Linked DNA regions of Anolis sagrei. Each later gene encodes a partner of the first gene's protein in a complex. Links are inferred from orthologs where the notes say so. Each region holds a gene or a part of one and is shown in the gene's direction. Other genes may lie near its edges.

Region 1 (7,702 bases):
CCAGCATAACAAACTCTTGGGAAATTCCTTCCTATTTCCTGAGATGAATTCCCCACTGACTTAAGGACTCCAACAAAGACTTATTGCATAATAATAACAACGGTGCCTCTTGGGTCTCGGAGCATGACCGCCTAGGAAAGCACCCCCATGGTGACTCTATCACTCATCAACAATGGTACATCCTGCCTTCAGGAAAGATCAGGATGCCCCATCCGCCTCACCCATTGTCTTTGCACCCTTGGCTGAAACCAACACACAGATAGCATCAATTGATCCCATATCCAGGACAAAAGATTATCAAGGCTTGGCAGCCGCGCCAACCATTTTTGTATATTTCACCCCCACGGGACAATACCAGGCCAGCTTGAGGAATATCCGGATTATCGCTGGCCATCGGACAAACCATTAAGTTACATTTAATCCACTAATTTTTTTTCCTCTCGGTTCTTTGTTTCCTGCTTGTACTGCCTCCTCAATTCCCATTGGCTCAGAAGCCAAAGCAGCGCTGGCTTCCCTATTGGCCAAGGCACGCCTGAGCCGGCCGCGCCTCCCTCCAGCTGATGACTCCAACCAATCGGCGTGAAGCCAGCAAGGGGCACGGGAAGTTTGAATTTGACAGTTCTGTATTTCCTATAAATTGTACAGATCCTGGGATATTGGGCCTGTCTGGACTCTAAGGCCTCTTCCACACAGCCCTATTTCCCAGAATATCAAGGCAGAAAATCTCACATTATCTGAGTGTGGACTCAGATAACCCAGATCAAATCAGATATTGTGGGATTTTCTGCCTTGATATTCTGAGATATAGAGCTGTGTGGAAGGGCCCTAAGGCACCTAGATCCCTTTTGGATACACTCAAGGCAAGGAAATAGTGGTAAGGTAGCAAAAATGCTAACATTTCACAATGAAAAAGCCAGAACTCAATACTAATTCCACTTGATTTTTCTCCCCAAAAGAGAAGTGTGCACTTCCATGTAGCAGCAGATATACTAACTAGGGATTTTAATTGCAACTCAGGATTGATAGGATGTTAGTCATGAATCACCTTACTAACCAGAATGAGTTCAGATCAGCAGGGCCAGATGAACTGCATCCCAGGGCACTGAAGGAGCTTTCAATTTTACAATTTAATTGCTGAGGGCAAATACTAATTGTAGAATTGATGCCCACATAATGTGTTGATGACCATCAATTTATGTGGCTCTGAAAGGGACATTGGATAGCTTTCTTGGAGAATAATGCTCTCAACGAATGTGTATTAGTCAAGATGGCTGGCTATATGCTGCCTCCAAACAAAAGTACTTTAAGCCACGCAGCTTCTAGCTTTGTTGGTCAGAAGGCATCCTGCAGCTATTTTATCTTCCTTTTTTTCATAGACATTTGTTGTTGTAAATAAAAAGATGGAAAAAACCAGTGGAAAGCACAGGAAAATTACAAATAGAAATGTTGTTACTCCTCCCTGGTCCCCAAACCTCAGAGAATACAATACAAATCTTGTACAGAAGCAAAATACACCACTTACTAGAGAACAGCAGGAGAAAACCAAACAATTGCTCTCATAGCCTGCAGAATGGAGAACGTTTGAAATGGGCTTCTTTCTCTTTGCTAAAGTTTTTATTTCATATGAACTGTTTAAGTTGCATTTTCAATTGAAGACTTTACACTGAATTAAACCGAATGAATAGTCGTCACTGAAAAATGTGAAAAAGCTACTTCTTGGACCACAACACTCACATTCTTAAGAGATTCTGGAAATGGTTGACCTAAAAAGTAATTTTTCCAAAGTGTAGTATGTTTTACAAATTGAAGCTATGCAGTCAAAAGGCAACTTTGCTTATATCAGTGGAGCTTATGCTGAGGTAAGGACTGTAGTCATGCTGATCCTACAAAATCCATTCCTCTGCTAGCACTGGTGCCCTTGTGTTCTCTGTCTATGTAAATGCATACAGTGGGAAGACCAATCGCTAGGACCTGCTGTAAGTGTGCTTCCCCCGCTACACACACAAACACACTCCCTCGCCAGGAATAATGCCTAGAAACAACTGACCATCACATACCAATTACACATTTGTCTCATCAGAAGACTAAACTCACAAATCCTTTGTGAACTAAAAGTATTGTGATTTTTGTGTGTGTCAGGAACAACTTGAGAAACAGCAAGTCATGTCTGGTGTGAGAAAAATGGCTGTCTGCAAGGATGTTGCCCAGTGAACGCTTGGATGTTTTTCCATCCTGTGGGAGGCTTTTCTCATGTCCCCACATGGGAAGCTGGAGCTGACAGGAGCTCACCCCACTCCCTAGATTCGAATCGCCTACCTTTTGGTCAGCAGTCCTGCTGACACAAGGATTTAACTCATTGCACCACTGGGGGGCTCCTATTATGAAATAATAAATGGGTATAAATTATATAACTTGTATATCTAAGCACAAATAGCACAACAAAGAAGTGTTACAGCAGGTTGAGAGTTTGGAAGGGGCTGTAGTCAATAAATTCCTCAGGCAACTCATGCTAGCGGTCATGAAAATCCAAGCAAGTACAGGCAGTCCCCAAGTTACGAACAAGATTGTTTCTGTAGGTTTGTTCGTAAGTTAAATTTGTATGTAAATAGGAACAGGGACATTTCTTGAGTGTAACTCCAACCAAATATATAAGGTTTTTTTGGGTCACACTTCAGGGTCAATATTCCTGTGGCGTTTTGCTGCCTATGCCCCTGTTTAGAATAAAGTGTTCCCACACTTTCTATCCCTGTGATAATTGGATTTTGAGAAATGTGGCTTGTTGTAGAAACAACAACTGGGGATAAAGCTTCAGTAGAGACTCGATTTTCCAGGAGTGGATTTCCCTTCCTTGGGATAGATATCTCTCCCTTCCTGTTGTCTCGGGGCCCTTCCAGTCATAACCCAGAATATCAAGGCAGAAAATCCAACAATATCTGCTTTGAACTGGGTTATCTGAGTCCACACTGCCATATATTCAAATTAAAAGCAGATAATATGGGATTTTATTCAGCTGTGTGGAAGGAGTCTCAGCCCTATTTTTAATTAGGAGTTGTTTGTAAGCCGGATGTTTGTAACTCGGGGATTAACTGCAGTTCATTATATAGCAGACACTCGGGCTGGATCTATACTGCCACAGCAACTCAGTTTCTGAATCCAAATGATCTGCTTTGAACTGGATTCTACAAGGGCCCTTCCACACAGCCATATAATCTAGGACAGTGGTTCTCGACCTGTGGGTCCCCAGATGTTTTGGCCTTCAACTCCCAGAAATCCTAACAGCTGGTAAACTGGCTGGGATTTCTGGGAGTTGTAGGCCAAAACATCTGGAGACCCACAGGTTGAGAACCACTGATCTAGAATACCTGGTAGTCCACCAGATCTGCTTTGAACCGAGTTATTTGAGGGTCCTTTCACACAGCCCTGTATACCAGAATATCAAGGCAGAAAATCCCACAATATCTGCTTTGAACTGGGTTATCTGAGTCCACACTCAGATGTGGGATTTTCTGCCTTGGTATTCTGGGGGCCTTTCCACACAGCCCTATATCCCTGAATATCAAGGCAGAAAATCCCACATTACCTGAGTGTGGACTCTTGATAACCCAGTTCAAAGCAGGTAATGTGGGATTTTCTGCCTTAATATTCTGGGCTATAGGACCCCCAGAATCTCAAGGCAGGAAATCCCACAAAATCTGCTTTGAAGTGGGTTATCTGAGTCCACACTGCCATATATCCCAGTTCAAAGGAGATAATGTATTTTATTCAGCTGTGTGGAAGGGACCCCAGGGCCCTTCCACACAGCCCTATATCCCAGAATATCTAAGGCAAAAAATCCCACCACTGAATAAAATCCCATATTATCCGTTTTGAACTGGAATATATGGCAGTGTGGACTCTGATAACCCACTTCAAAACAGATATTGTGGGATTTTCTGCCTTGATATTCTGGGATATAGGGCTATGTGGAAGGGCCTGGGTTAGTCGTATCCACACTGCCATATATTCCAATTCAAAGCAGATATGGTAGGATTTTGGCGTGGAAGGAGCCTGAGAGCTCTTCCACAGCCATATAACCCAGGATAGCAAGGCACGAAATCCCACAATATCTGCTTTGAACTGGATTGTCTGAGTCCACACTGCCAAATAACCCAGTTCACAGCAGATATTTTGGATTTCCTGCCTTGAGATTCTGAGTTAAATGACTGGTTGGAAACGGCTTGAGTCTTCACGGCCACCAGAGAGAAAGGACGGGGGAGAGCGGCCCTTTCTTCCACCCAGGCGGAGAGCGCCTCCTTGCCTTCGGCTGGACTGCCTGCCTGCCTGCCTGTGGCCCCGTCCACACAGCAGGAGAAAATCCCCCAATCTCTGCTTTGAAGTGGGCTATGTGGCAGTGTGGACTCCAATAACCCAGTTCAAAGCAGATACTGTGGGATTCCCTGCCTTGATATTCTGGGTGAGATGGCCGAGTGGAAAAGCCCTGCGAGCGAGCGAGCGAGTGAGCGCGGCGAGAAAGAGGCGCGAAGAGCCGGGCTCTCCCTCTCCTCCTCCTCCGCCTTCCGAGGCAGCCACGTGACACGGAGCCCGCCCCTCCCCCCGCCCTGTTTGCCCGTTTGTGAGCGCGCGCGGGCCTCTGTGACGTCAGGCCTGCGTGGCCCCCGCGCGCACGCCCCGCCCCCTTTCCCCCTTCTTTTTTACGGCTATTTGAACCCTCGCGCTTCCGCCATCTTCCTCAGCCGTCCGCCCAGCTCGCGGAGGGAGACAAGAGAGAGAGCCAAGAGCGAGCGGAGTGAGAAAGAAAACCGCCCCGGGAAGGTAACTCTGGGGCAGGAGAGGCGGGAGGCCGAGGGGGAGCGAGCCGGGGAGGCCCTCGCAGGCTGCGGAGGCGCCTCAGGGCAGCGCTAGGCGGGCAGGCGAGCGGGAGAGGCGCCGGCTGAGGCCCGCCAGGAGGGTGCGTGTCTCGCTCTGGAGATTCCCGCGCGGCGGTGGCCGTTGGGGCGGCGGTTGGCGGGGGAGGGAGGGGGAGGGGCGGCCGCGCCTCAGTCTCGGTCCCCCGCGGGAAGTGCCCGCCAGGAGGAGGCGGATCTCCGCGGAGAAGCAGTCAGGCACCGGGCGGATCCCACCTGAGGGATCTGCCGGCAAACAACGTACGTGGGTGGTACTTCTCCGTCTCCCTCAGAGAGAGCTCTGCCCCAAGGCCGTCTCTTGCCTCGTTTCTGAGGCGATCACAATGGCTCGCCTTGTCCCTCCGGCGTATTGTTTGCAAGCGCTGCCTTACGCCCCTCGATTGTGCTGAGCCATTCCGGGCCCGGGGGGAGGGGGGGGGAAGAAGAGAGGCGAGGCCAGGCTAGGCGAGGCTTGTTTGGGGGGGGGGCGCCATTGGCCGCTCCGGCTGCCACTTCCTGCCTCGCGCCCCGGATGCAGAGGCCGCCACGCGCCTTTTGGGGAGCTCGGGCGAATAGGGCCTTCCTCACCGATCACGCCTCTTGCCTTCCTTCCTTCCTTCTTCCCTCCCTCCCTCGCTCCTCTTCCTCTCCAGACGCAGCATGGCCGCCCCGCAAGGAGAACCCCAAGTCCAGTTTAAGGTAAGCAGCCTCTGAGCCCTCTTTCCCCCAATAGATTCTTTACTAAAAAGAAAAGCAGTTTCCCCACCCCACAACTTTTTCCCCTGTTTGGTGGGGCGGGAGGATCCCTGTGGCGCGTGGCTTCCTTTGTTCGCCTAGGAATCCGCAGGAACCCCACGCGCACAGTTTGACATCTAATTTGTAACTCCCTTCCACACAGCTGTATAAAATCCACATTGAGTTGGATTATCTGATGTTTATTTATGTCCCACTTTTTCTCTCCATACTGAGGGTCCTTCCACACAGCCCTATATCCCAGAATATCAGGGCAGAAAATCCTATAATATCTTCTTTGAACTGGGTTATCTGAGTCCACACTCCGATACTATGGGATTTTCCGCCTTGGTATTCTGGGATTTAGGGCTGTGTGGAAGGACCCCCAGTTCAAAGCAAATATTGTGGAATTTTCTGCCTTGATCTTCTTCTGGGCTATAGGGCTATGTGGAAGGGGCTCTCAAAGCGGCTCACAACTAAAAGCACTGCAGCACAACTTCAAATATACAAGTATTAAAACCAGTATAAAACATCATTAACCACATACAAAATCACAGCAGTCCCCCCCCCCCCTTGATGATCTTTACAAACCTTTAAAAGCCTACCTGAATGAAAATGTTGGATTTTGCTATCTGAAGGACAGCAGGGAGGATGGGGCCATTCTAGTTTTCCCAGGGCAGAGAGTTCCAGAGTCTACTGCGGCAGTTTGGACTCACATAACCAAGTTCCAAGTGGATATTGTGGGTTATCAGCCTTGATAGTCTGGGGGCTCTTTCACATAGCTCTTTATCTCAGAATACCAAGGCAGAAAATCCTACAGTATCGGAGTGTGGACTCAGATAACCCAGTTCAAAGCAGATATTGTGGATTTTCTGCCTTGATCTTGATTATAGGGTTGTGTGGAAGGGCCCTGGGTTATATGGCTGTGTGGAAGAGCCCTAAATGTGTTAAGGATCCGAAGAATTTAACTTTTAGGTAACCGAAGGCAACATTGTGCTTTTGGACTTCATGGCTGTCTGGTTTGATTTTTATTGGTAGTGTGATATATATTTGTAACCCACTATGTTCTCTTCCACACAGCTGAATAAAATCCCACATTATTGGCTTTGAACTGTATTATATGGCAGTGTGGATTCATAATCCAGTTCAAAGCAGATATTGTGGAATTTTCTGCCTTGATATACATCACCATCATTTAATAACTTATTAATCACCCTCCATCCGAGAATGCTCCAGGCGATTTACAGCTAAATTACAAAAGATAAAATACATACATACAAAAATTAAAAATCAGCAGAGATCGAATGCTCTAGTAAAAAGCCAGGTCTTAAGTGTGAGAGTAAAAGGCCCTAAGTCACGCATGGCTCTCATGTAGGGCGGCATATTCTGGGTTATATTCTGGGTTATATGGCTGTGTGGAAGGGCCCTAAGCAACATGGTTTTTGTTCCTGGGCTATAAATGTCATTTCCTAATTGGTTCTATCATAAAAGCATGGGCAAAGTGCATTGAACTTCAAAATCGTTTTGGCGGGACATCCTGCTATAGCACATTTTGCTATAGTCTTTTAATGACTAGCCTATAGTCTTGGCTGATTCAGCCTAGCTTATGGCAGCCACAAAAATGACTTTCTGGAGTAGAACAACTGCTTTCAAAGTAAGGACCGCACAACTAATACGGGAAATAACACTTTCAAACCAGAAACAGAAAATGTTTCAAATTTTGTTACATTGTGTTATTTCAAACAATGAGATGGTGATTTTAAATTACAAGTTTATTAGTTTACATTATTTGTAACGTTTTTGTCCTGTTTTTCCTCCATTGAGCTGAATGTGCCACATATATGGCAGCCCTTTCTCCCCCTATTATATCCAAATATTATGTTACTCAACTCAAATTAAAGGTGTATTGAGGTTTGAAAGTAGTGGGCTTACAAACCTACCATGCTGACACTGTGAAGTTCAGTTTCATCTGAAAAGCCATTGAGTATAACTTCAAAACCCTTAGAATGAAATATAAAGAAAACTAGCAAAAAAGCTTTACAGGCAGTCTCTGAGTTACAAACATCCGACTTACAAATGCCTCCTAG
Region 2 (7,023 bases), on another chromosome or scaffold:
ACCTGCCAGTAGTAAATAACTGGTGGGACCATAAACCTGCAGTTCCATCTTGTCTCCTGCAATGTGCTTATAATATGATATAATATAATACAATATAATATAATATATTGTATATACATATAATATTGGTAATATTATAATGTAATACAATGTAATACTAATAATAATATTATAATTATATATTTTATATTACATGTAATATTACTAACAATATTACAGTATAATGTTATAGTACAATCGAATATATAGTATTAATATTGTGCTAGATCCGCATAGTTAAAGCAATGGTATTCCCCATAGTCACCTACAGATGTGAGAGCTGGACCAAGGGGAAGGCTGAGCAAAGGAAGAGATGTTTTCGAACTGTGGTGCCACAGGAAAGTTCTGAGAGTGCCTTCGACTGCGAGAAGATCCAACCAGTCCATACTTCAGGAAATAAAGCCCGACTGCTCATTGAAGGGAAGGATAGTACTGCTCATTGAAGGGAAGGATAGCACCGGGATTGTGGCGCAGCTGGCTGAGTGTCAGCTGCACTAAGATCACTCTGACCAAAAGGTCATGAGTTTGAAGCCAGCCCGGGCTGGAGTGGGTGTCCAGCCATTGTGTAGCCTGTTGTCGACCTTTGCAACCCGAAAGACAGTTGCATCTGTCAAGTAGGAAAATAAGGCACCACCTTGTGTGGGAGGCTAAATTTAACTAATTTATGAGGCCATAAAGAAAAAAGACTCCGGGGAATGTGGAATGCGGAAGAACTTCATCGGTGTCGCTGATGGACGATGAAAAGCAGCAGCTCCCCTGGCGGCCAGAAAAAAGTTAAATAGCCTTGGTGTATTTGTGTGTTAAACGTTGTTTGTCAAAACTGGCACTGAATGTTTGCCATATATGTGTTGACTGTAATCCGCCCTGAGTCCCCTGCGGGGTGAGAAGGGCGGAATATAAGAACTGTAAATAAATAAATAAATAAATAAATAAATAAATAGTAGAGGCCAAGATTAAGTACTTTGACCACATCATTAGAAGAAAGGAAAGCTTAGAGAAGACAATTATGCTGGGGAAAATTGAAGGAAAAAGGAAGAAGGGCTGACCAAAGGCAAGATGGATGGATGGGATCCTTGAAGTGACTGGATTGACCTTGAAGGAGCTGGGGGTGGTGACTGCCAACAGGGAGCCGGACACAAAGAGTCAGAAACGACTGAACAAATGAACAACAACAAAATGGTAATATAATATATTGTATTTACTTTTTACATGTAAGCCGCTCTGAGTCTCCTTCGGGGTGAGAAGGGCAGCATATAAATGTTGTAAATAAATAAATAAATAATAGTGTAAATGTGTGTGTGTGTCAGGAGTGACTTGAGAAAGTGCAACTTGTTTCTGGTGTGGGAGAATTGGACATAAAATAATATTTGGACATAAAAAATTAAAAATGATAATACAATAACATTTATATTAAAAACACTCATTTGGAGAGTACGCAGGAATATCCTGTCACCTGACATCAATTTTCTTGCGGCTGATAATCCTTTTTTTAATGCATGCACAAATATTGTTTTACCTATGAAAGTAATCATTGTGCTTTGTATTTTTTCACAGATCTCTTGCTACATTCATATGCAGAACAAAAATACATTTATATATATTGTATAACTTGTAATGCCAAAAGAACAGAGAGGAGTGGAAGTGTTTGGAATTAAAGCTGTCTCAGTTTTCTTTGCTTATGCACTCTCTAATGAACTCTATGCTCTCTCCATTCCTTCCTCTTTCTATTAATGGGATTTCCCCCTCTTCATAGTCACCAGCTGATTAATGTGTATATTCTAATTTTAATGTGTATGTCACCATATGTGTGTGTGTATGTATGTATATACTGTGGGCTACTGAAATGATCAAAGGTCTGGAAACCATTAATCCCTATGAGGAGCATCTTAAAGAAATGAGTACGGTGTGTTTATACTGCAGAAGAGAAGACTGAGAGGAGACATGATGGCCATGTATAAATATGTGAAAGGATGTCATAAGGAAGAGGGAGAAAGCTTCCTTTTTGCTGCCCTGGAGACTAGGATTCAGAGCAATGGGTTCAAATTACAGGAAAGGCGATCCCACCTGAACATTAGGAAGAACTTCCTGATTGTGAGGGCTGTTCAGCAGTGGAACTCACTGCCTTGGAGTGTGGTGGAGGCTCTTTTTTGGAGGCTTTTAAACAGAGATTAAGATCTTATTGGGAGGCCCTGTTCTCAGTCTCGTCACCATCACAGTGATTGGCGGGGATGAGAGACAGGGCCTTCTCAGTGATTGCCTCCCTGGCTACGGAACTCCCTTCCTGGCAAGATTAGATCAGCCTACTCCCTCCTGTCATTCAGAAAGATGGTAAGAGCTTGGGTTTTTGCACTGCCTTTGGAGCAGTGCAATAAGGCAACAACAGAAAACTTTACACTGCCAACCAAAGTCAATATGGCTGTTTTGAGACGATTTTAAATAATTGATTTCAAAGTGGGATAACGGATTTTAATGTTTATGTTTTTTTATAGTTTATTTATGTTCTGGCATTTAATGTTTGCCGTATATGTGTTGTGCTCTGCCCTGAGTCCCCTTCAGCGTGAGAAGGGTTGGAATGGAAATGTTTTTTAAAAATAGATAAATGAAATAGAGGCTGGATGGTCCTCTGTCGGGGTGCTTTGAATGTGATTTTCCTGCTCCCAGGCAGGGGTTAGACTGGATGGCCCACAAGGTATCTTCCAACTCTATGATTCTGTTGGCCTGCTTCTTGAAAGCAATACTTACAGAGTAATTCTATTGACTTTGGGTGCATGTACACCAGGCATAGGCCAACTTGGGCCCTCTAGGTGAGGCTGAACCTGGAACTCCCTGCCTTCAAGTTGATCTGACCCACAGCAGGGAGTTCCTCAGTTCTCCATTGCCCCGCTTGGGCCAACCGCATGAACGTGACCACAGCAGCAGCTGCAACTCAGAAGCCTTCTAATTTCTTTGCCTTTCCCCCTTACTAACATTGTAATGAATCCCCCCAATAAAAAGTATGAATTAATTGTAACTTTTTTCCTCTCCATAGTGTTACTTTGTGTCCCTTTACTGCCTCAAACTTCTCTTTCGATAAACCTTTCTTCTCCCGGGCTGCAGATAACTGCCGGCCCTCCCGGAATGCGATTTTCGCATCCCGGGGAGGCCGAAACTGCACTCCCTTAAACAGCGGGTATGGAAACCCTTCGGGGCCCCGTATCTGCGAGTCAACGGATCGCTTCTAAAATTGTGTCATTCTTCTCCTGGGAGAATTCTAATACTAATGGCTATCTTAGTTTTGCTCTGCTGCCCCGGGAATAACCTTTTTAGCCTCTAAAACCCCAACCTGGCGTCCAGCTGTTTTTTCAAAGATGTTGCCTTGCGGGAGCCTCTAAATTCTAGCTCGATATCAGGAGTTGAAGTCCAAAACACCTGGACGGCCCAAGTTTGCCCGTGCCTGGTCTACTGGCTGTTAGGAATGGTGGGAGTTGAAGTCCAAAACACCTGGAGGGCCCAAGTTGGCCTGATCTACACTGTAGAATTAACACAGCTTGAAATCACTTTAATTGCAGTGGCCCAATGGTATGGAATAATGGGAACTGTAGTTCGGTGAGGTACTAATACAGTACTCTTTGGCAGAGAAGACTAAAGATCTTAAACTACAACTCCCAGGATTCCATAGGATTGAGCCCTGGCAGCCAAAATAGTTGTCAAACTGCGTTAAGTCTAGAATGTAGATGGGCACAAAGAAACAAGGAAATTCCGTCTTCTACACAAGGTCCAGGAGCCTTCTCTAGTCTAGAACCCAATTGGTAAGGAATGCTGCTTCCTGGTGCCTTCCTCAAACGGCTTCAAACGTTTGGTTATTAAAAACTACAACTCCCATGATGCCTCGCGACAAAGGCGGCTGCGTCGCGAGGCACGAAATTGTGACCTCCCCCTCCCGCTGCCCACCCGCCTCAGTCTCTGAGCCACCCCTGGCTGCACGAGGAGGGCCTCTGGGAGGACGAGGAGGAGGACCAAGATCCACTCTGCGCAAGCGCAAGAAACAGAAGCGCTAAGACAGCGAATCACCATCCAGGAAACAAAACTGCCGGCTTTCAAATCCTCCGCCTCCTGCTAACGCCATCCTCCTCCCCCTCTTCTCCAGAGGCAAGAGCGCGGCGACGTGAAGGGCTGCGATCGGGGGACTCCGCAGGTTCGTGGGTTTGATTTATTGGAGCACGTTTGACTAAACGGCGGAAAGAAGCGTGGGAGGGTGAGTTAATTATTTTTGTTCCTCTGAAATAAAGTTTCCTCGCGTTTCCCGGCAGTTTGAGGAAGGAAAGACACGCTGGCGTTTGGCCCCAGGGCTACACGTGTGGGCGCATCCACACGTCGTCACGGTACACGTGTCCTGGGCTATTACAGACCGGGATTGGAAAGCCTATCCAAAACTGATCAGTTTCTTCCGTGTGTGACGTCACGCCCCGTGGGACCAAAGGCCTGGGCAAACATGGGCCTTCCAGGTGTTTTGGAGTTCAACTCCCATCATTCCTTACAGCCTCAGGCCCTTTCCTTTTCCCCCTCAGCCGCTTAAGCGGCTGAGGGGGAAAAGGAAGGGGCCTGAGGCTGTGAGGAATGATGGGAGTTGAACTCCAAAACACCTGGAAGGCCCAAGTTTGCCCATGCCTAGTCTACACCGTTGAATTAATTAAGTTTGACACCACTTAAGGTGTCTCAGTGGTGTGGTATCATGGGAGCCTCAACAAACTACAACTCCCATTGAGCCTTGGCAGTTCAAGCAGGACCAAACTTCATTAATTCTACAGTGTAGATGATTATATAAATGATGACAAAAATAAATTGGAAAATGCATAGGAAAGGGATAGTAGTAGTAGTAATAATAATGCTCAGATGATTCATTGGAACTTGTGCCACAAATACCATCTGCCTGTCACAAAGAACTGGTGGGATCACAAGCCGGGAAAAGTTACAGAGAATGAACATGTCAAACTCCTCTGGGACTTCTGGATTCAGACAGAGTTTTGGAGCACAATACTCCTGACCTCATGAGTATGGATCGTCGATGTTGCAATCCCAGGTGACAGCAGGATTGAAGGGAAACGACTGGAAAAGCTGACACGATATGAGGATTTAAAGATCGAACTGCAAAGACTCTGGCACAAGTCAGTCAAGGTGGTCCTAGTGGTGATCGGCACACTGGGTGCAGTGCCTAAAGACTTTGTCCTGCACTTAAACCCAATCGGTACTGACAAGATTACCATCTGCCAGCTGCAAAAGGTCACCTTACTGGGATCAGCACACATTATTTCCCGATACATCACACAGTCCTAGACACCTAGGAAGTGTCTGATGTGTGATCCAATACAACAGCCAGCAGAGTGATCTTGTCTGCTATGGACTCATCTTGTTGTGTTTCAAATAATAATAATAACAATAACAACAACAACATTATTTGTATTCCACCCTTTCTCCCTGAGAGGACTCATGGCGGATTCCAGCATAACAATGGCAAACATTCAATGTCTTCATAAAACACACAATACTAATACGAATAGTAGGGATATCAGATCAGCCCCCAACCTCATAATATTTCGTAAAAAAGTTAAAACTTGGCTTTTTGTGCAAGCTTTCCTAAATGCAGTGTAGCAGACAAACTGATCTTTGGAACAACTGGACAATGCGATGAGATAATGATTTTAGTAATGAGACGCTGAGGATTTATACTTTTATGGGTTTTATTATTTTATTTAATGTTATTTATGCTAAATGTATTAATTGTTTTTACGTTATTGTGAATATCAAATTGTGCCATTTGCCCTGAGTCACCCTTGGGCTGAGATTGCAGGATATAAATATGGTAAATAAATAAGGAACCCCCAGTGGTGTAGTGGGTTAAACCGCTGAGCTGCTGAACTTGCTAACCGAAAGGTTGCAGGTTCGAATCCAGGGACTAGTGTGAGCTCGTGCTGCTAGCCCCAGCTTCTGCCAACCTAGCAGTTTGCAGTAGATCAATAGGTACCACCCTGGCAGGAAGGTAATGGTGCTCCATGCAGTCATGCCAGTCACATGACCTTGGAGGTGTCTATAGGCAATGCCAGCTCTTCGGCTTAGAAATGGAGATGAGCACCAACCCCCAGTCAAGCATTGTTAATGTCAGGGGGAAGCCTTTACCTAGTAAGAATAGTGAGGAATCAGGAGCGGCTCATTGCCTCCATATAGTAAAAAAGTTGATATATGATTCGTGATTTCCATGAATAATTAAGAAATAATGCAGTTGCAGTCCTTTTTGAATTTCAGAAGCGATCCTAGTTGGATGTATTGTTGAAGGCTTTCATGGCCGGAATGACTGGGTTGTTGTGAGTTTTCTGGGCTGTATGGTCATGTTCCAGAAGCATTCTCTCCTGACATTTTGCCTGCATCTATGGCAGGCATCCTCAGAGGTTGTGAGGAGGTCTGTTGGAAACTAGGCAACTGCTAGACCATTAAATCCTAATCAAGGTGGCCAGTTGAAACATTCACACCTACCTCAAACAGACAAGAGTTCTTTCTCCCACCCTGGACATTCCATAGATATATAAACCCCATTTTCCTAGTTTCTAACAGACCTCACAATCTCTGAGGATGCCTGCTATAGATTCAGCTGAAACGTCAAGAGAGAATGCTTCTGGAACATGGCATACAGCCCGGAAAACTCACAACAACCCACTGATCCTAGCTGGCCTTGTGGATTAAGCGCAAGTAAAAGCCAGTAAATACTACACAATACTGGTCCTATCAACTACAAATGGGCTGCTCCATCTCCAAATTGCATTTCTGACAATGCAGCCAAACTCTGTGGGTCAGTGGAAACATGTGAGGAAAAGGGACCTTTTGAAATAATGTGTGTTTAGCGCTTTGAAAGAGATTACTAGCAGTTTTTGTATTGTGCTCAGAAATGCTACACAAAGCTGTTGTACTGCAGTTGCAAAGGGATCCCTTACGTAAACACAAAGTACACTACAA

Evidence for each region.
Region 2: the proteins of RAN (region 1) and RANGAP1 are in contact, whole or in part, in a cryo-EM structure (PDB 9B62), measured with the Homo sapiens proteins. The link is inferred for Anolis sagrei from reciprocal best matches to the Homo sapiens genes RAN and RANGAP1. Residues at the interface, in NP_006316.1 of Homo sapiens: Asp18, Gly20, Tyr39, Val40, Ala41, Thr42, Leu43, Gly44, Val45, Glu46, Glu70, Lys71, Leu75, Arg76, Tyr79, Asp91, Thr93, Ser94, Arg95, Val96, Thr97, Asn100, Lys123, Asp128, Arg129, Lys130, Lys132, Lys134; in NP_001265580.1 of Homo sapiens: Ser29, Gly58, Asn59, Thr60, Asp86, Thr89, Gly90, Arg91, Leu92, Arg93, Ile96, Asp121, Ala123, Phe124, Gly125, Asp127, Asn151, Cys152, Gly153, Met154, Gly155, Arg189, Asn190, Arg191, Gln217, Asn244, Asp245, Asn246, Thr247, Asp273.

What each region holds. Positions count from the first base shown.
Region 1 is NC_090034.1:37,904,089-37,911,790, reverse strand, and holds the start of RAN (GTP-binding nuclear protein Ran), read left to right. Parts: upstream 1-4,687; 5' UTR 4,688-4,812; intron 4,813-5,148; exon of another isoform or gene 5,149-5,306; intron 5,307-5,536; 5' UTR 5,537-5,543; coding exon 5,544-5,582; intron 5,583-7,702. UniProt on the Homo sapiens protein: GTPase involved in nucleocytoplasmic transport, participating both to the import and the export from the nucleus of proteins and RNAs. Switches between a cytoplasmic GDP- and a nuclear GTP-bound state by nucleotide exchange and GTP hydrolysis.
Region 2 is NC_090025.1:161,611,087-161,618,109, forward strand, and holds the start of RANGAP1 (ran GTPase-activating protein 1), read left to right. Parts: upstream 1-4,003; 5' UTR 4,004-4,213; exon of another isoform or gene 4,214-4,273; intron 4,274-7,023. UniProt on the Homo sapiens protein: GTPase activator for RAN. Converts cytoplasmic GTP-bound RAN to GDP-bound RAN, which is essential for RAN-mediated nuclear import and export. Mediates dissociation of cargo from nuclear export complexes containing XPO1, RAN and RANBP2 after nuclear export.